Stegostoma tigrinum: one gene and its partner. The protein of the gene in region 1 purifies or fractionates together with the protein of each later gene. This does not show direct contact. Links are inferred from orthologs where the notes say so. Each region holds a gene or a part of one and is shown in the gene's direction. Other genes may lie near its edges. The genes, in order: protein LSM14 homolog A-like and eif4enif1.

Evidence for each region.
Region 2: the proteins of protein LSM14 homolog A-like (region 1) and eif4enif1 purify together in Homo sapiens (affinity purification with mass spectrometry; 3 studies listed by BioGRID and IntAct, with this or other methods). This does not show direct contact. The link is inferred for Stegostoma tigrinum from reciprocal best matches to the Homo sapiens genes LSM14A and EIF4ENIF1.

Annotation. Positions count from the first base shown.
Region 1 is NC_081369.1:64,933,863-64,944,229, reverse strand, and holds the start of protein LSM14 homolog A-like, read left to right. Parts: upstream 1-5,718; 5' UTR 5,719-5,853; coding exon 5,854-5,974; intron 5,975-10,367. UniProt on the Homo sapiens protein: Essential for formation of P-bodies, cytoplasmic structures that provide storage sites for translationally inactive mRNAs and protect them from degradation. Acts as a repressor of mRNA translation. May play a role in mitotic spindle assembly.
Region 2 is NC_081379.1:46,710,984-46,721,053, forward strand, and holds the start of eif4enif1 (eukaryotic translation initiation factor 4E transporter), read left to right. Parts: upstream 1-5,529; 5' UTR 5,530-5,967; intron 5,968-6,452; 5' UTR 6,453-6,456; coding exon 6,457-6,576; intron 6,577-10,070. UniProt on the Homo sapiens protein: EIF4E-binding protein that regulates translation and stability of mRNAs in processing bodies (P-bodies). Plays a key role in P-bodies to coordinate the storage of translationally inactive mRNAs in the cytoplasm and prevent their degradation.

The DNA of each region.
Region 1 (10,367 bases):
CTGACATTTTGGGTCTGGACCCTTCCTCAGAAATTAGAGGCATTGCACAATGAGGTGCTGACTTGTTTTGAGGGACTGTTGAACTCTGACTTTGCAAGGAGCAAGGAGGGATGAACGATTTGTCCCCTCAAGCCTCCTTCACCATTTAGTAAAATCATGGCTGCTCTGATTGTAGCCTCCACTCCACATTCCTACCTACCTCCAAAAATTCTTGAGCCTAGTTAATCAACCTATGCCCTGAAGGAAAACATTCCCACTGTTACATTCCAAGCAGTAAACAAGAGCTTTTGTGAGGAAGCGTCTAGGCCCGAAATGTCAGCCTTCCTGCTCCTACAATGCTGCTTGACCTGCTGTGTTCATCCAGCTGTACACCTTGTTATCTCAGCCTTCCATTAGCCTTCTGAATCTCTTACAGTGCACATATATCTGCATACTAGCTTTGTGATTCATGTACCAGTGTGCTCAGATCCCCTTGTACCACTGAGGTCTCTCTCTATTTAAATAATATTCTGTTTTTCCGTTCTTCCTGCCAAAGTGAACAAAGTTCATATCTTCCAACAAGGTACCACCATCCACCAAATTTCTGCACACTCACATAATCTGACCACACTACTTCACTTCCTCTTTATGTCCTTTTCACAACTTATTTTCATACAAGCCATTGTAATCATCCTAATGAAGTCTAATGCTGAAAACATCAGGAGATTCCAACCTGCTGTTTGGCGAAATGGATAGTTCTCAATTTCATAATATTAGGGAAACGATAAGCTTCATCACGAGGCAGGCAACCAATTCTGTAGAGATAACATCTTCAGGAATAGACGTTTGAAGAATATTTAACTGTTTTCAAACCACAGCATTGCAAATCACAACACACAAATTGTCTCAGAGATAATAGGAACTGCAGATGCTGGGGAATCCGAAATAACAAGGTATAGAGCTGGATGAACACAGCAGGCCAAGCAGTATCTTAGGAGCACAAAAGCTGACATTTTGGGCCGAGACCCTTCATCAGAAACGGGGGATGGGGAGAGGGTTCTGAAATAAATAGGGAGAGAAGGGGAGGCGGACTGAAGATAGATAGAGGAGAAGATAGTTGGAGGGGAGAGTATAGGTGGGGAGATATGGAGGGAATAGATCAGTCTGGGGAGGACAGACAGGTCAAGGGGGCGGGATGAGGTTAGTAAGTAGGAAGTGGAGGTGTGGCTTGAGGTGGGAGGAGGGGATTGGTGAGAGGAAGAACAGGTTAGGGAGGCGGGGATGAGCTGGGCTGGTTTTGGGAATCAGTGGGGGGAGAGGAGATTTTGAAGCTTGTGAAATCCACATTGATACCATTGGGCTGCAGGGCAAAACCAGCCCAGCTCATCCCTGATAATGGGAATTGCAGATGCTGGAGAATCCAAGATAACAAAGTGTGAAATTGGATGAACACAGCAGGCCAAACAGCATCTCAGGAGCACAAAAGCTGACGTTTTGGGCCTAGACCCTTCATCAGAGAGGGTCTAGGCCCGAAACGTCAGCTTTTGTGCTCCTGAGATGCTGTTTGGCCTGCTGTGTTCATCCAGCTTCACACTTTGTTATCCCAGCTCATCCCTGCCTCCCTAACCTGTTCTTCCTCTCACCCATACCTTCCTCCCACCTCACGCCGCACCTCCATTTCCTCCCTACTAACCTCATCCCACCCCCTTGACCTGTCCGTCTTCCCCGGGCTGACCTATCCCCTTCCTACCTCCCCACCTACACTCACCTTCACTGGCTCCATCCCTACCCCTTTAACTCGTCTGTTTCCTCTCCACCTATCTTCTCCTCTATCTGTCCTTGATCCACCTCCCCCTCTGTCCCTATTTATTTCAGAACCTTCTCCCCATCTCCCTTTTCTGATGAAGGGCCTAGGCCCAAAACCTCAGCTTTTGTGCTCCTAAGATGCTGCTTGGCCTGCAGTGTTCATCCAGCCCCACACTTTGTTAACACAAATTGTTTCATTTGTGTAAGCTGTTGTAATGATTATGTTGACACTCATTTACATTCTTCTCCCTTCACAATGAAAAATCACAATCAAAACAATTCCCCTCATTCATCTTCTAGTTAGTAATGACATTTAGTTCAGAGACACATAAGTTGTGAAGCTGTGAGATTGTTTTCATCATTGTAATAGTGGTGAATTCACTAGCTTGCATTGCCTTGAGTATAGAAGATTAACGGGTGATCAACTGGGCTGTTCAGAATTTTAAATGCATTTGATAGGATGGGCAACACTTCCTCTGATGGAGGAGTCCAAAAGAATGATGTATATCAATATAGCACTGACTCTTTGAAACAAAATCTAGACCCTTCATCAGAAATGAGGGAAGGGAAAGGAGTTCTGAAATAAATAGGGAGAGAGATGGAGGTCAATAGAAGATGGATAGAGGAGAAGGTAGGTGGAGAGGAGACGGATAAGTCAAAGAGGCGGGGATGGAACCAGTAAAGGTGAGTGTAGGTGGGGAGGTAGGGAGGGAATAGGTCAGTCCAGGGTAGACAGACAGGTGAGGTTAGTAGGTAGGAAATGAGGGTGCGACCTGAGGTGGGAGGAGGGGATAGTTGGAAAAACAGGTTAGGGAGGCAGGGACGAGCTGGGCTGGTTTTGGGATGCGGTAGTGGGAGGGGACATTTTGAAGCTTGTGAAATCGGGTCTAGTCTGGAAACGTCAGCTTTCCTGCTCCTAAGATGCTGGTTGGCCTGCTGTGTTCATCCAGCTCTACACTTTGTTATCTTTTAAAAACAAGGTTGTACTTCTCTTAATGTTGTCAAGGAACATGGAGTATGACAGGTAGACTTTCTCCTTCATCACTTGCTATAGGCTTTGTGTAGCAACAGCATCGGTTCTGGTTTGGCCATCTCAATCAGTAAGGGGGCTGCCAAGTTATTCCTGAAATCCATCTTTATTGATCTCAATACCAGAGGAAAAGTTGGACCAGCTGGGCTCAGACCTGCTGTAGTATGCAAGAGTAAGAGGTGACTTGAATGAATCATTTTTGATCCTGAGGAAGCTTGACAGGATGAATGTTCCAGAATGTTTTATCTTGTGGGAGAGTTTAGAACTAGGGGATCACCACTTAAAAACTATTAAACAACATTTTTCTTCAGAGTGAGCTCTAAGTTTTGGAATTCACTTCCTCAAAAGGCCATGGAAGCAAAATCTTTGTGTATGTGTAAGGTAGAAGTGGATAGCTTCCAGGAAGCAAGAGAGGTGAAAGGTAATTCTGGGCTACAATCACATCATCCACCATACATTTAAATAGCACAGCAGGCTCCAGGTATTAAATGGCCGACTGTATTTTTATATTCACATCTCCATCAGGAGTACTTTATGTCATAGAGTCACAGAGGTCTACAATACAGAAAAATATACTTCAGCTCATTGTGTCTGCATAAGTCAAAAACAACCACCTAACAATTCTAATCCCATTTTCCAGCACTTGGCCCATAGGTTTGGATACCTTGGCATCACAAATGCTCATCTAAATGCTTCTTCAGTGTTATGAGGATTTCTGCCTCTACCATCCTTGCAGGCAGTGAGCTGAAAATGTTTTTTCCTCACATCTCCCCTAAACCTGCTGTCCCCGGTCATTGATCTCTCCAACAAAGGGAGAAATTGCTTCCCGTCTACCCTATCTATACCCACATAATTTGACACATGTCAACTATGGGATTTCAAGACAAGAGGGCATATTTTAAAGGTGAGAGGAAAGAGATTTTAAAAAAGACGTAAGAGGCAATTTTTTTACACAGAGGGTGGTTCACGCGGGGAATGAGCTTCCTGAAGAAGTGGTGGACATGGGCACAGTTACAACGTTTAAAAAACACTTAGCTAAGTACTTGAACAGGAAAGGTTTGGAGAGATATGGGCCAGGAGCAGACAAGTGGGACTAGTTTAGTATGAGATTATGTTCAGCATCGATTCATTGGATCAAAGGGTCTGTTTCTGTGCTGTATCGCTCTATGTCTATGACTGTCAATCTCTTCTCCATCTCCTTTGCTCCAGTCTGTCCAATTTGTCTTCAAAGTTGAAACTCTCAAGCCCAGATAACATCCTGGTAAATCTCCTCTGCACCCACTCTAGTGCTATCATTCCCTCCCAAAATGTGGAATCCAGAACAGCAGTATTCTAGCTGTGGCCTAACCAACATGTTTCACAGTTCCAGCATAAGCTCCCTTCTCTATGCTTCAACTAATAAACATGAATATACCAGATACCTTCTTCACCATAAAGACATACAGCATAGAAACAGACCCTTTGGCCTACTGTACTCAATGTTCCCTTGGCCTACTATGTCTATGCTACCAACAAACACTAATTTTGTGGTCCTGAGTAATTCCATTTACCTGGACTTAGCCCATGGCCTATCATGCCCAACACTTAAGTACTCATCCAGATGATTCTTAAATGTTGTGAGAGTATTTGTCTCCATCACCCTCTCAGGCAGCACATTCCATATTTCTACCATTCTCTGGGCATAAAAATTCTTCCTCAGATCTCCTCTCAACTACTTGCTCCTCACATTAAACTTATGCCCTCTGGTCTTAGACACATCTGTCATGTGGAAGAGATTCTTTGATCTGTTCTGTCTATGTTTCTCATAATCTTTTATACCTCAGTCCCAGCCCACCCACCCCCCCCAACTTCCTCTGCTCCAAGGAAGACAAACCCAGCCTATTCAGTCTCTCCTCATAACTGAGACTTTTCATCCTAGGCAACATCCTGGTGAATCTCCTCTGCACCTTCTCCATTGGCACATTGTAAAATTCTTTCCATTCTTCTGATTTTTTCCCCTTTGTTTTAATCTTATACAATTCTGAACCTCCTTTGTTAGCTGTAGTTGACTGATCATTTTTGAGGTTTGGCACATTGAAGGAATATACAGTTGCTGCAAGACATGTAATCATTCCTTAAAGACTATCCATTGTCTATGGACAGTCATGTCTTTTAATGTATTTTCCCATTCCTCCACCATCAATTTGTGCCTAACTTTATTTTCCTGTTAAAATTGAATACCCTTGCTTCAAATGAAACTTCCCCACTTTTAAACATAAAGCAAAATTCAATCTTATTGTTGTCACTCAATCCTAAATAAATATTTTCGAACAACATTGAACTAGTTATGACTTTAAGTTACAATAGATCAGGCCTAAACTAACTTTTTTTGTATGTGTAGGCATATTGTTGTCTGGCCTGGTGTAGCATGATCTTCCTTGCTATTTATGCTCAGTGATGCCCAGATCCATTATATCATCGTAACATTGCTCCAGGGTCTTTAAACCCCTAAATCACAAACGATTTCAAAATGTAGCTTGCAAATCCAGAGGTTGTTATTATTTTGTTATTATTTAGATAGAAATGCAAATATTATGTGTGTACTTCAAAATTTTTGGTAAATGCCAGCTAGGTTTAGAAATAAAACTAAATCGTGGAGCAGTTCCCAGCTCTCACTTCAGATTTCTTCAATGATTTGAGAAGTTAACTTTTCCAGCAATGTTTTTGAGTTAGTTTTGGAGAGTTACGAGGTGCAAGCTTCCGAGAGAGAGATGCTTGTTCGCATCTTTTAAGATTTCGTCCTGCAGAGAGTGAGACTGGTGTTGTGCAAAGAGAGGGAAAGAAACAGAAGGAAAGTACTGGCTGAGTGGGGGAAGGGCCTGGCCACTGGAATATGAAGGCAGCCATGTTGGCTGCTGCCTGAGCGAACGTCACGGACCGGGGGGGTAGGGAGGTGGATAGAGAGAAAGAATAGGCCGGAGCGGGACGGTAGAGGCAATCCGCATTCATCCGCTGCCTCAGCTCCCGCAAATAGTGGTAGGCACTGCACAGCTACCATCATGAGTGGGGGTACTCCTTACATCGGCAGTAAAATCAGCCTGATCTCCAAGGCAGAGATCCGATATGAGGGGATTTTGTACACCATCGACACCGAGAACTCCACCGTCGCTTTAGCCAAAGGTAAATGGCGTAGAGGCGCCGGGCCTAAGAATACGACCCCATCCCTTGTGAATAACTCTTGTCTATAATAATCCCTCACATTTCGACATTCTTATCGCTAAAGAAACACAATTTGTTATTTAAACGTCGGGCAGTTTATCCCTTGTTTTAAAAAAAACTAAAATGGCGGGATTTGTCAACAAGAGCTTCTGTTCTCTTAAGTGTGTTTAATTGTATTTCAATCTGAGCTTTAATTTGGATGTTTTCTTACTTTCTTTGGGGAGGGGGTGGGGAATGTGAATTTTATCAATATATTCTAATTGGATGTGGTAAAGAAAGTGGGGAGTGGTCGGTGGTTATAAAGACAACCTGCTACCCACATCATAAACAAAAATAACTAAGACATTTCGTTTTAATATTTCTTTGTATGACTCACTGCTTTTAAATTGAATGGCTGCTAAATCAATCCGATTTGTTCGTCAAATCAGATAACACTGTTGCTCCTTGCAGTTCGTTATCCAGAGGAGTCTCCGCTTTTGTGGTTTTCATCCTCAATTTAGTGTTTATAATGTTTATATTGCAGTGTCTTCCAAGCAAATTGTTATATAGAAAATTCGCTGATAACTTTTAAAATGTTAGCTGCAGTAACTTTCATTTGTCTAGTGATAATGAAGCAATATTCTGATTGCTATTTAGATTATCTCTGGACTACTTCGAAGTTCCAAATCTTTAACGTACGTAAGAATTTCATGGTTGAGGTTATTTTTGTCTAGTTATTGGCAAGTAACGTGTTATCCAATTACCCCTTTTGTTGGAAGTAAACCCCAAAATAATAATTAGATTTTAATGAATTTGTGAAGATGTTGAATTGACTTGAGAAGGTAATTTTCTGAGCAAGTGTTTTAGCTTGAGGTATGATAATAGTGCACTCCAAAAAGCACTGATTTGTCTGGTTACTTGGGTTAAATGGGCATCTGTCTTTCTGTTGAAAAGATTTAGTTGGATAGTTTTCCAATAGACTGGAAAATCTAAAACACTTCAATTTGGAACAACCTAACGTGATTTTTGTGTTTGTGTTGTTTACAATGATTTTGTATAATGTGTATTCTTCAATAAGGCTTTACTTTGACTACCTATCGTTGGGTCTTTTAAGAGTTGGAAATTGGTGACTCCTGAGGAATTTATCGATGTGTTGTGGTGCCCACTACAAATAATTAGTCTAGAATAATTTTGTAAGTTTATAAATGTAGGAAAGAAGAGATTCTGTTTGTGGCAACCTCTGTTCAAACAATTTAACAAGTTTCTTTTTCTTTTGTTCATTCCTTGTAGCCCTGCAGATTTTGCCTCTCTAGATGTCCATCTAATTTCTTTTTAAAGCTATTAAGGAATCTGCTCTTTTCCATCTTTTCTGGCATTGCATTCCAAATCAAACCCACTTGCTGAATACAAAAAAAACTTGGCACTTTTTGGCCTTTTGTAATCTCCTTAAATTTGTTTCCCCCCAGTTCTTAACCACCTTGAACATGGGAACAATTTCTTTCTGCACTGAGTTTGTGTTGTGACGTGGACCAATTCAATCACATCTCCTCTGAATCGTTACTTTTCAAAAAGAAGAACTGCCCCAGTTTCACCCATCTAAGCTTGTGACTGGTCCCTGGAGTGAGAAGCTTTGGAGATCTGCCTCATTCGTTCCTAAATCAGGTGCTCAGAAAGAAAACATTTAATCTAGCTCCTCTGGTAAATTGTGTATGATCAGTTGAACAAAATGACCTTGCTTCGGTACACTGTACGATTCTGTTTTCTGGTGTCTGTAAGCAAAACCCAAAATTGTCCAGGATTAGAGTTGATACATGGGAATTCTTTCTGCTGACTGAAATGACTGGAGGCCAGAAGTCCCGAAAGGATGTGGGAAAAGGCAGAAGATAAAATAAATGACTAGCAGAAAAGACCACCAGCCGGAAGGAGGAAAAAGTTACATCTGTGAATCCCACGCTAACATTATTCCTCTGTGCTGGCTGCAGAAGGCATTGCTGCTTGGAAGTTGACCTCTTGCGACAACAGGTGATGTTCACACCAATGACATAAGACCTGAGTACAGTCTGCTGTGTTTCAAAATGCATGGGTGCCATTAATGTCTTTTCCATGTGTTTTCTAACTCTTTCTCAATGATATAAATGGATTTATAGTACAGAAATAATCTATTCTGGCCAGTTTTTGAATGCCACAGAAGTTTAGAAAGTTTGAGGATAGTACCATGAAAGGTACCACAGAACCTCTACAGTGAAAGCTGGACATTTGGCCCATCAAGTTCATGTGACCCTCTGAAGAGGGTCCCACTCAAACTCAAACCCAAACCCAACCCCCGACTCTGTTCCTGTAACCATACACTTCCCATGGCAAATCCACCTAGCCTGCTCATCCCTGAACACTACGGACAATTTAGCATGGCCGTTCCACCTAACCGCCTCAGCTTTGGACTCGGGGTGGGGTGGGTAGGAAACTGGAACGTGTCTGGAGGAAATCCATGTGGACGTGGAGAGAATGTGCAAACTCCACACAGACAGTAGCCCGAGGGATGGAATTGAACCTGGGTCACTGTTGCTGTGAGGCCACAGTGCTAACTGCTGCAGCACCCATTTTCTTCCACTTTACGTCATCCTGCCCCAATGTCATATCTTTAAATTATTTCCTCCCTTGCACTTGCCCATTTTCCCAGAAGTGTGTATTAAAGAAGCCTGTACCTGTCTTGGAGGTGAAGGGCAGAGATTCACGAAAGTTTTTTTTAAATTCATTTGTGGGATCTGTGCATTACTGACTGGCCAGCATTTGTTGCCCTTGAGGGTGGTGGTGAGTTACCTTCTTGAACTACCATAGTCCACTGTTGTGGGTTGACCCACAATGACACGAGGGTGGGAATTCCAGGATTTAGACCCAGCAACAGTGAGGGAACAACGATATATTTCCAAGAGGATAGTCAGTGGCTTGAAGGTGAACTTAGGTGTGGTGCTGTTTCTGTATACCTGCTGTCTTTGTCCTTCGATGGTAATGGTTGTGGGTTTGGAAGGTGCTATCGGAGGATCTTTGGTGAATTTCTGCAGTGCATCTTGTAGATAGTACACGCTGGTGGAGGGAATGGATGTTTGTGGTTATGTTTGTGGTTATGTTTGTGCCAATCAAGCAGGGACTGTTTTGACATGGATGGTGTCAAGCTTCCTGAGTGGTGTTGGAGCTACACTCATCCAGGCAAGTGGGGAGTATTCCATCATACTCCTGACTTGTGCCTTGTTGATTGGACAGGCTTTGAGGAGTCAGGAGGTGATTTACTTGCCACAGCATTCCTAGCCTCTTACCTGCTCTTGTAGCCACTGTGTTATGTGGTGAGACTAGTTGAGTTTTTGGTCAATGATATCCCCCACTATCTACACTCTGTGGGTTTCAGTGATGGTAACACAGCTGAATGCTGAGGTATGGTGTTTAGATTGCCTCTTGGTGATAATCATAGCCTGGCATTTGGTGCAAATGTTACTTCTCAGCCCAAGCCTGGACATTGTTGAAATCTTGTTGCATCTTGAACTTGGACTGCTTCAATATCTGACGAGTCACGAATGGTGCCAAACATTATGCCTGGTGAATCAAGGCTGTAATGAGTTCAGGAGCTGAGTGGCCCTGGTGGAACAGGTGCTGCTTGATAGCACTGATGACACCTTCCAGTACTTTACTGATTGCAAGTAGACTGGAGTGAGAATTGGCTAGTTTGGATTTGTCCTGTTTTTTCTGCACAAAACACACTTTGGCAATTTACACATTGTCAGGTAGATGCCAGTGTTGTCACTGTACTGGAACAGCTTGGTTAGAGGAGCAGCAAGTTCTGGAGCACAAGTCTTCAGTACTATTGTAGGAATGTTGTCAGTGCTTGTATCCTTTTGTAGTGCCCAGTGTCTCCATCGTTTCTTGATATCTCTTGGAATGAATGGAATTGGCTGAAGACTGGTATCTGTAATGCCAGGGATGACTAGAGGAGACTGAGATGGATCATCCACTCGGCACTTCTGGCTGAAGCTTGATGTCGATGCTTCAGCCTTACCTTTTTTTGCATTCATTTGCTGGGCTCCTCCATGATTGAGGATATTTGTGGAGCCACCTCCTTCAGTGAGTTGTTTAATTGTCCACCTCCATTTACAACTGGATGTGGCAGGACTGCAGAGCTTAGATCTGATCCGTTTGTTGTGGGATCACCTTAGCTCTGTCCATGACTTGGTGCTTATATAGTTTGGCATGCAAGTAGTCCTGTTCAGTGGCCTTGACCAGGTAGGTATGCCTGGTGCTGCTGCTGGCACGCCCTCCTGCACTCTCCATTGAACTAGGGTTGATTCAAGGATATGTCGGACTATGAGGTTACAGATTGCTTGATCGT
Region 2 (10,070 bases), on another chromosome or scaffold:
GTTTCCTCCCATAGTCCAAAGATGTGCAAGCCAGGTGGATTGGCCATGCTAAATTACCCATAATGTTCGGGTATGCGTCAGTCAGGTGCGTTAGTCATGGAAAATGCAGGGTTACAGGGATAGGATAGCGGGATGCTCTTTGGAAGGTTAGTGGACTTGTTGGGCCAAATGGCCTGTTTCTACACTGTAGGGATTCTAAGAATATCCTTTCGAACTTTAGGACAGCACAGTGGCTCATTGGTTAGTACTGATACCTCACAGCGCCAGAGATCTGAGTTTGATGCCACCTTCAGGCAACTGTCTGTGTGGAGTTTGCATATTCTGCACTGTGTCTCCTTTGGGTGTTCTGGTTTCCTCCCACAGTCCAAAAGTGTGCAGGTTAGGTGGATTAGCGATGGGTAATGCAGGGTTACAGTGTCTGGGTGGGATGCTATTCAGACTGTCGGTGTGGATTTAATGGGCCTAATAGCCTGTTTCCACACTGTAGGGATTGCACAATAGCTCAACCAGCTTGGTCAGTGGTGATATTACTGAGACACTTTTGTAGATGGACTTTGAGGTTCCCCCACCCTGAGTGCATTCTGCATCCATGCCACCCTGAGAGATTCCTCCAAGTAATGTTCAACAAGGAGGAAACCTGAATAATCAGCCAAGTGGGGGTGCTAAGTGGTTATCAGCAGGAGGTTCCCTTGCCTATGTTTGACCTGACAGTATGAAACTTCATGGGGCCCAGACTCAATATCGACTCCCAGGATAACTATCTCCTGCACAGTGTACCACTGTACTGACACCTCTAGTGGGTTCATCTTGCTGCTGGGAGGTGACATATCCAGGGATGATGATGTCTGGAGCATTGTCTACAAGGAATGATTCTATGAGTATGACTGTGTAGGCTGCTGCTTGACTAGTTTCTGGGACTGCAGTCTGAAATTTTGACACAAGGTTCCAGATGTTAGGGTGTCACGGTGGCTCAGTGGTGAGCACTGCTACCTCACAGGGCCCAAGGTTCAATTCAGGCCTTGGACAACTGTCTGTTTGGAGTTTGCACTTTCTCCCTGCGTCTGGATGAGTTTCCTCTGAGTGGTCTGGTTCTTTCCACAGTCCAAAGGTGTGCAGGTTAGGTGGATGGCCATGGGAAATGCGGTGTTACAGAGATGTTTGGATGATCGGTTTGGACTTGATGGGCTGAATAACCTGCTTCCACGCTGCAGGAATTCTATGTTAGCGAAGAGAACATTACAAGCTCAACATGGCTGTGATGGAGTTGTTTCTGGTACCTGGGTCATTGCTAGGTGGTCCATCCAGTTTGGGTGGCTTTTTAGGTAATTTCAGAGGGCAATTAAGAATCAACAGTGCTACAATTAATGAAAGAAAGGTTGAAAGGCAAAGAGTTTTAGCAAATAATTTCAGACCTTAGGGCCTAGGCAAATGAAAGTATGAATACCAATGGTGGAGTGTTTAAAATTAAGGATCTCCAAAATTAGAGGAGGTTGGATCTCAAAACATCATGGAGCTGGAAGAAACATAAGATATAGGGAAGGATTAGGCCATGGAGCGATTTGAAAACAAAAATGATCATTTTGAAATTGCAGCATTGCTTACCTGGAAGCCAATGCATGTCAGTAAGTACAACAATCATAGAGTCATTTACAATGCAAAAGGGATTCTCTGAATCCATGCTGACTTCCTGTGGACCAATTCAATGTTAATTCTGTTCCCTCTCTTGATCCCTGTCGCTGTGCAAGTTGTTTTATCCTTCAAGTGTCTATTCACTTTCCTGCTGGTGTTTCTGTTTGTGGGCAATGAGTTCCAGATCATTACTGCTTGCTGAGTTAAAGTGTTCCTCTTCACATCTCTGACATATCTTTTGACCAAAACCTTCAATCTGTCTTCCCTTTCATCCTTGTATTATCAAAAATAGTCACAGTTTTCTGTTGCTTCCCTTATCCAAACTTGTCATAATCTTGCACATTATTATCAAATCTCCCCATAATCTCTGCTCAAAGGAGACCCCAGTTTTTCCAATCCAAGTTTGTAACTAAAATCTCTCATCCCTGGAACCATTCTGGTAAATCTCCTCTGCACCATGGGTCCTCATGCTCCTCCTAAAATGTGTTGGCCAAGTCAATGGGATTTGGTGCAAATTGGCGTAATGTTTGATTTGTAGGAAATGGAAGAATAGAATAGAATAGTGAAGACCTAATTAACAAAAACTTGAATGAGGATTTCAATATCAGGTGCACTGGTGCAGGTCAGAATTGGGTGACAGTCTCAGGAGTGAGGATGAGATCATATCAGGATCAGATATGACACAAAGCTTGTGAACAGTTTAATTCAGCCTCAGACAGTGACCAGGTAGAGCAGGGAATTGGTGACTCAAAAATGAAGTTTGTAATGGCTTCATTGTTCTGTATATTTAGTTCAGAGAAATTTCTGCTCATCAGGCCCCAGATATTGACAAGGAGCCTGACAATTTTGAGGCACTGTAAGAGTTGAGAGAGGTGTGGTGAGGCAGAGTTGGGTGTTATCAGCCCATACATGGAATCCGTTGGTGTATTTTTAAATGGTGCCACCAAAGTGTACAGATGAGAAATAAGAGCTGGTAGGGCTAGGCCTTGAGAGACACCACAAACAATCTATCTGGAGGGGTTTATGAATCGGAAGGATTTGGAGGGGAATGGCTTAAATGCTGGCAAATGAGACTAGGTCATTTTGGAATGTCTGGTTGATGCAAACGAGTTAGACCAAAGAGCCTGTTTCCGTGTTGTATGACTCTGTGACAATGTGGCCGGATTGAGAAGAGAAATCAATGATGGTAATTGTCTGACTGCAACTGGAGAGACAAGAGAAACTAGGTGAGTCCAGCCCTACCGAGCTGGCCAGTAGTGTTGGTGAGTTTGGCATGGTGAACCATGTCAAAGTCCATATAGATTCAAAACCAGAGAAGGAATAGTTTATCCTGGTCACAGTCACATGTTGTTATTTGTGACTTTGACCGCCACTGATTTGGCCACCACATTTTAGGAGGAGCATGAGGACCCATGATGAGGTGCAGAGTAGATTTAACAGAATGGTTCCAGGGATGAGAGATTTAAGTTTCAAACCTGGGTTTGGAAAAGCTGGTGTTCTCCTTTGAGCTGTATCAATACTGCGATTGGAGCATACATAGATGTGCTAACTCTTCTGAAGTGATTGTGAGAGATGTGGTTTCTCATTCATATTCAACTTTACCCACAATCTCACAGGAGAACTGAAATCTCAGGATTTTTAACAGTACTCTTACATATATGCACTTAATCTGAGACTGTTCATGCACCTCTTAAGGCCCATGTGCTTTGCTTGAGGAGGAAACTGGAAATGGGAGCTTGCGAAACATGTGCTTTGGGTCTTAAGCGATGACCTAATTGCTGATATGTACGCGTGAGTTGCAAGATGACATATGGTACAGTCCTGATGTTTGTTCTTAAACTGGCGAGAAATAATTTATTAAATTATGAGTAAAATGCTGCAGATGATGAAAATGTGATACAAAAACAGAGAATGCTAGAGAAACTCAACAGGTTTTGCAGCATCTTTGGAGAGTTAATGTTTCAAGTATGTCATGACTCTTCTTCAGAATTGTTATAGTGAGACAAGCCTGATATTTGGGCATATCTGTTTTCTCAAGGAGTCCTAAATAAGGCATTAGGCTCCCCAATAGTATACATAGGAGAAATATTCATCTTAGGCAGCTCTGTGAATATCTGAAAAGTCAGCTGACTCAATTTTCAAAAATTTGGCAGGAAATGTTGCTGTCTACTTTTTTAACCTTTGGGACCATGTGCTAGTTCAAGTCTGCCACTGCTTCCAAGCACTAAATAGAATAGTGATACATTTTTTAATAAGAAGCTCTGAAATGTTGAGCTTAAATAAGCCATGAACAACTTGTTTAGCTCTGTACCACACCTCTTCACTTGTAAGAGTTTGTTTTTTGATTTATGCAATGATGACTGTTCCAATAAATAGAAAAATCTTATTGGAGTTATTCAAACAGTGAAATCTGGAAAAGATAGACATGTGTCTTACGGGCAGAGAGGTTGGAATCACATTTGTCCCATATAACTAATGAGGATCTAATCTTCTTTTCTTTGGCAGTTCCTCAGGGTCCAGGACAACTTCCTTCCATTTGAGGCGGGGAAGGGGGATTTCTTTGGTGGTTGCATAATTCACTCCTGGAGCCACAGACTCTGCCATAGGAGGGGAAGGTGACATTTGATGAGGCAGGAGGGTGGGTTGTTCTGATTTTGTGAACTCCTTCCCCTCCTTGTGCTTAACCTCCATGTGCTCCACTTGGTGATACTGGAAGTGGTGTCATTTTTGTGGATGCTTCTTCCTAAGTTTGTGCATTCTATGGCAAGCAATTCTCATGCATTGTTGGGAATATTACATTTGTTTGGGTAGGTGGTTTCAGAGTATCCTTGTAGCATTTCATTTACCCTCCTGGTGATCACTTACCACTGCGGAGCTCAGACTCCTGTTTAGGGAGTCCTGAGTTGGGCCCACCCACAGCAGCTAGTCATCCATGACTCTGGCCTGGGAGAGGATGCTTGTGTTGGTATACGTATTCTGCCAATGGATTTCCAGGATTTTGTAAAGGCAGCAGTGGTGATAACTCTCCAATGAATTGAGATATCTACTGTACATGCTGTATATTTCTGCTGCATACAGGAGGGTGGGAGCCTGGCTTCAATGTATAGCATGAGCTTGGCAATGGATTTGCTGGACTTTCTGTTCCTCAAGTTGCAATGGTTTATTGGAGTCAATGTTTGATTTCATTGTCAATGTCTGTTTGCACCAAGAGGAAGCTTCCAAGGTATGGGAAATGATCCACATTGTCCAGAGGCTTGCTGTGCATTTTTATGTATGCCAGACTAGGGACTCTTTGGGAAAGCTGATTTGCTGACATGTTGTGATCTCCACTCCACTTTCCTCTATGTGGTCCAGAGTTGTTGACTCCATTTACAAAAATCTATTCAGTACTACCTTGACTAAAATCAGTGACACAGTAATTTGTGGGGAAAGAAATTCCACAGGGAGGGGGGTCAGTGGTTGAGGAGAAAGAAGCATTAACAATATCGTCTGATATTGGCCATGACATGTGAGATGAATTAAATTTAATCATCCAGGATGATGTGATTGCTCTGAACGCTCCATTTGGCTGCCCTACTCAATAGACAGCCTCTGACAGCACTCAGCCGCCCACTTCCGGTATCACTGTCAATCAGACGAAAAAGTGAATGGGATTAACCCAATGACGTTGTGGTCTTGCCCCGCCTCCTCCGCTCTGATTGGTTCTATTGTCTGAAATATAGTCGTCAATCCTAGTTGCTTGTGGGCCCTTTCCCTTTTGAGGACGAAGAGGGGGTCTTAACAAAATTATTAAAAGTGTAATCGAAAGCGCTTTTTTTTTTAAAAAAAGGAAAGTGCGGGTCTTGTGGCTTTTTTTTGTGTGTTTGTTTTTTTCTGTTTTGGTTGTGGGGACAGGCAGGCGGTTGGTCTGTACATCCGGGTGCGCGAAGCGGCTGTTGCCGGGCTTCGGGACACAGGCCGGTTCCGTCGGCTCCGGCTCAGGCTAGAGCGGGAGAGGCGGCAAGCGAGGGGCCGAGTGTCCGTAACCCCCTCCCCTTTCCTCCATACTCACTTCCCCCTCCCGGGGAAGAAGCCTACCCTTTGCCTCCTGTCTTCGGGAGTCAGTCTTTAGGGTGGCGCCGGGGTCTGACCAAACCCCCAACCCACCCAAAAAAACCCCTCCAGTGCCCGGAGCGGGCGGGCGGGCCGTTCTCCCTCCTCGCGCACTCTCTCCGCTCGGCCCGGACCTGGTGACCGGCAGGGCAGCCGGACGTCTTTTTTTCATCCCCACTCCTTCTCACCCGGGCAAACTTCCTCAGTCCGAGGCCTGAACTGTCAGCCTCGGAATCTCTCTGTCAGGTGTGTGTCTGTATGGTTTATCATGCAAAACATCGACTAGCCTCGGTCTTTGTACCAGGTGAAGCAAACTGTGTGTTTTTTTTTGTCCCGTCCTGTTTATATCACGTTTTGTTTATGGGTTCCTGCGACGTCAAATGAAATAGCTGGCCATTTGTTCCTAGTGTGCCTTGGCTGTGGTGAAGTCGGGATAATTTTACCTTTTTCGCAAGCCGTCTTGTTTCAAAACTGAAAAATTTTCAAAGGGAGAACGGGTTGCAGTTGCGTTCTCCCAGTGGGTGAGGAGACAAACCTGCGCAATTGCTACTTGGATGTCTGTGCTGTACGATAGTGTAACACTACTAGCGCAACAGTAGTTGATGGAATGGAAATTAAATTTCTTTTGTAGCTTTTAACTGCGTTCCGAACTGACTTGGGTTCTTTTTTTAAAGTGCAGTAGCTTTAAATGTTCGAATTGACTGAGTTTGAAGCTTTGTTTTCGTTTGAAGGGACATGTTCACAAAGCCCTCCGTGGCAGCCATGGATAAAAAAGAATGGATTGAAGAAAATGGAGAGCCATTAGTTAATCTACCAAAAATCTGTGTTATGAAGAAACCGTATCGATATTCAAAGGTATGGATTACGTGGTGATAGCTAGGGTTAATATTTAAAATGCATTTCATGGAACTGATGTGGTTGACATCTTAAACTTGTTTTGGATCTTACAGCTTGCAAGTATTTATTTTTGTTTTAGTAATGGCTATACTTGTCAAGTTGATGGATCATGATTAATAGATAGAACAAATTCTGTTCAAGAATTTGTCTTGATGACTGTGTCCAGCTGTAGCAAAATTGGAAGATTCTGTTTAACTTGGTGCAGCTGAGTGGACACAAGTCAATAGCAATTGACCAAAGTTTTGAGGTATGACTAAAAACCATTTTGTGGTGTGATGTCATGTAACAGCAGTCGCTGTTTTAATGAACTGTGAAAGTATGGGTAGCGTGACCCACTCAACCTCTATTTTCCAAGTATCAAGCATCATCTGCCTTTAACTTTCTGCTTAACATCTGAGTACTGCTGGCTACACTTTGAGAAATACCAAGCTCCAACTGCCCCTTGAAGCTGGTGGTAAACTGCCTTTTTTTTTTTGTAGCTCAAGTGCTGTTAGGCAAGTTTATTTTAGGATTTGATCTAAAGTATTAAAACAGTACAACACAAAACTGTACGAGAGTCCCTTCAACCCATGATCATGTGTGAAACATGACACCAAATTAAACTAATCCCTTCTGTCTGCTGTTGGTCCATATGCCTTTTATTCCTTGCATATTCATGTCCTTGTCTGAAAGTCCTTTTTTAAATGCATCTATCTGCCTCCTCCTCCACCCTGGCAGTGTTCCAGACTTGTACTTTTTAAAAAAAATTTGCTCCTGCTGTCTCCACTGAACTCCCCACTCCTACCCTAAATGCATGCCCCCTAGTATTAGACATTTCAACTCTATCCATGCGTCACAATCTTATAGATTTGTATCAGGTCTCCCCTTTGTTTTCCTTTTTGAGTAGCAGAGACTGAGTTTTTCTAGCCACTCTAAAAACCTCTTGTCCAGGCAGCATCTTGGTAAACCACCTCTGCATTCTCTCCAAAGCCCCTGCATCTTTCCTGTAACGTGGTGACCAGAATTGACTGCAATACTGTGGCCTAATCAACATCTTAAAAGCTGTAACATGAAATTCTGATTCTCCTACACAATTCCCCACAATGAAGTCAAGCATGCTTATGCCACCTTTACCATCCTATCTACTTGGCTAATTGCAGGGAGCTATGGGCTTGAACCCACAAGATCCTCCTGTACATCAAAGGTGTTAAGAGTCATGCCACCAGCTATGTTTCCTTAACACTTGATCTCCCAAAGTGTAGCACCTTACTTACCCAGATTAAACGCCATCTGCCATTTCTCTGCCCATATCCTGTTGTCCTTTGACAAACTTCTACACCATCTCTAACGCCACCGATCTTTATATCAGCTGCAAACTTGCTAACCTATCCATCTACACTTTCATCCAATTCACTTATATAAATCTCAGACAGCGGAGGTCCCAGTGCAGATTCTCTGTGGAACACCACTAGTCATGGATCTCCAGCCTGGAAGATGCTACCAATACCCTCTTGCTTCTATAGGCCAGCCACTTCTGAATCCATGTGGCCAAGTCACCGTGGATCCCATGCAACTTAATCCTCTAGATGAGCCTACCATGAGGGATCTTTGTTGAAAGCCTTATTAAAATCCATGTAAACAACATCCACTGAATACCCTCAATCGCCTTTGTGGCCATCTCAAAAGCCAATCATCTTAGTAAGACATGACCTGCACAAAGCTAATGCTAACTGGCCCTAATGAGGCCATGCTTTTTCCAAATGTGCATAAATCCTGTCCCTAAGAGTTCTCTCTAATACTTTCCAACCACCGTGAGACTATTGGCCTTTAGTTCCCTGGATTATCTCTAGTTCCCTCCTTGAACAGAGGACCAACACAAGCCACTCACTTAGTACTTTGGGGCCTTTCCAGTGGCTGGTGAGGATACAAAGATCTTGGTCAAGGCCCTAGTAATCTCCTGTCATGCCTTTCTCAATAATCTGGGCTAGATACCATTAGGCCCTGGGAACTTAGCCACCTTGATGCCCTTCAAGAGATCAATGCCACTTCTGTCTTGATCTCAATGTGTTTTAGCATGCTGTCCACACATCTCACTATTCTCCATATTCTTCTGGGTGAATACTGATGCAATGTACTCATTTAGGGCCTTGCCCATATTATCTGCTTCCAAGCACACGTTCTCTCCTTTCACCTTGAGTGGCCCACCCTCTCCCTAGTATCCTATTCCTTTTTAAATGGATCTGTAGAATACCTTTGGGATTCTCTTTAACCCTACTGGCCAAGATCATTTCATGCTGTCTTGGTCTCCTACTTTCCTGCTTGGGTGCTTTTCTTGTATTCCCCATGGGCTCTAGCTGATTTTAGCTTTCCTTCTGTCTTTTCCTTTTTTCCTGACTAAATTCACAAACTCTCTCATTATGCAAGGGTCCCTTACGTTGCCATCCTTATCCTCCTTTTATTGGAACATACCAGACTCGAATTGTCCCCAGCAGGTCTTTAAATAAGTCCCACATGTCAAACCTGGACTTGCCTGATAACAGCACCTCCCAATGAACACACTCTAGCTCCTGCCTAACACTGACGTAATTTTCCCTCTCCCAATTTATGCCTTCCCTCAAGGTCCTGACTTATCCTTGTTCATAGCTATCTTGAAACTTAACGGATGACAAGGTGTGGAGCTGGAGGAACACAGGCCAGGCAGCATCAGAGGAGCAGGAAAGCCGACATTTTGTCAGGACCTTTCTTCCTTTTTTTTTTTTGAAGGGTCCAGGCCCAAAATGTCAGCTTTCCTGCTCCTCAGCTGCCTGGCTTGCTGCATTCCAACAGCTCCATACCTTGTTATCTTGGACTCCAATATTGGCAGTGAGTGAGTTAATGAGTGAGTTAAAACTTATGGGGTTGTGATCACTTAACAAGATGTGCTCCCACTGAAGGGTCTGTCACTTGGCCTGGCTTGCCTAACAAGCCTATGTCCAGTATGGCCCCTCCTGTAGCTGGATTATCCACACTGTTTCAGAAACCCTCTTGGATGCCACTTAACAAATTCCACCCTGTCTAAACTCTTGCTGTGAGGGATTCCTGGTCGATACCAGGGAAGTTAATCATTCACTGTGACAACTCTTCTTTTTTAATTGCACCTTACCATAATCTGCCTATGTTTTTTCCCCAATCTCTTGGCTGTTGAAAGGCCTGTAGTATAATCCAATCAGTGATTGTTCCCATTTTATTTTTGAGCTCTACCCATTTTGCCTCTGGATGTGCCCTCCAGGATGTCCTGTCTGGGTGGAAATGTAACATTGCTGACATTGAGTTTAGTTGTCACTGGGAGCCTTTATGAATCCTCATGAATAGTTTATCAAGTTGTGTGACTTGGCTTAACTATTTGGTCTTTAAGTAGCCAATTTATTGGAGACAGTTTGTTTCACTTCATTTTTGAATATGAATCATGAATTTCCATTTGCCAGATGAGGAGA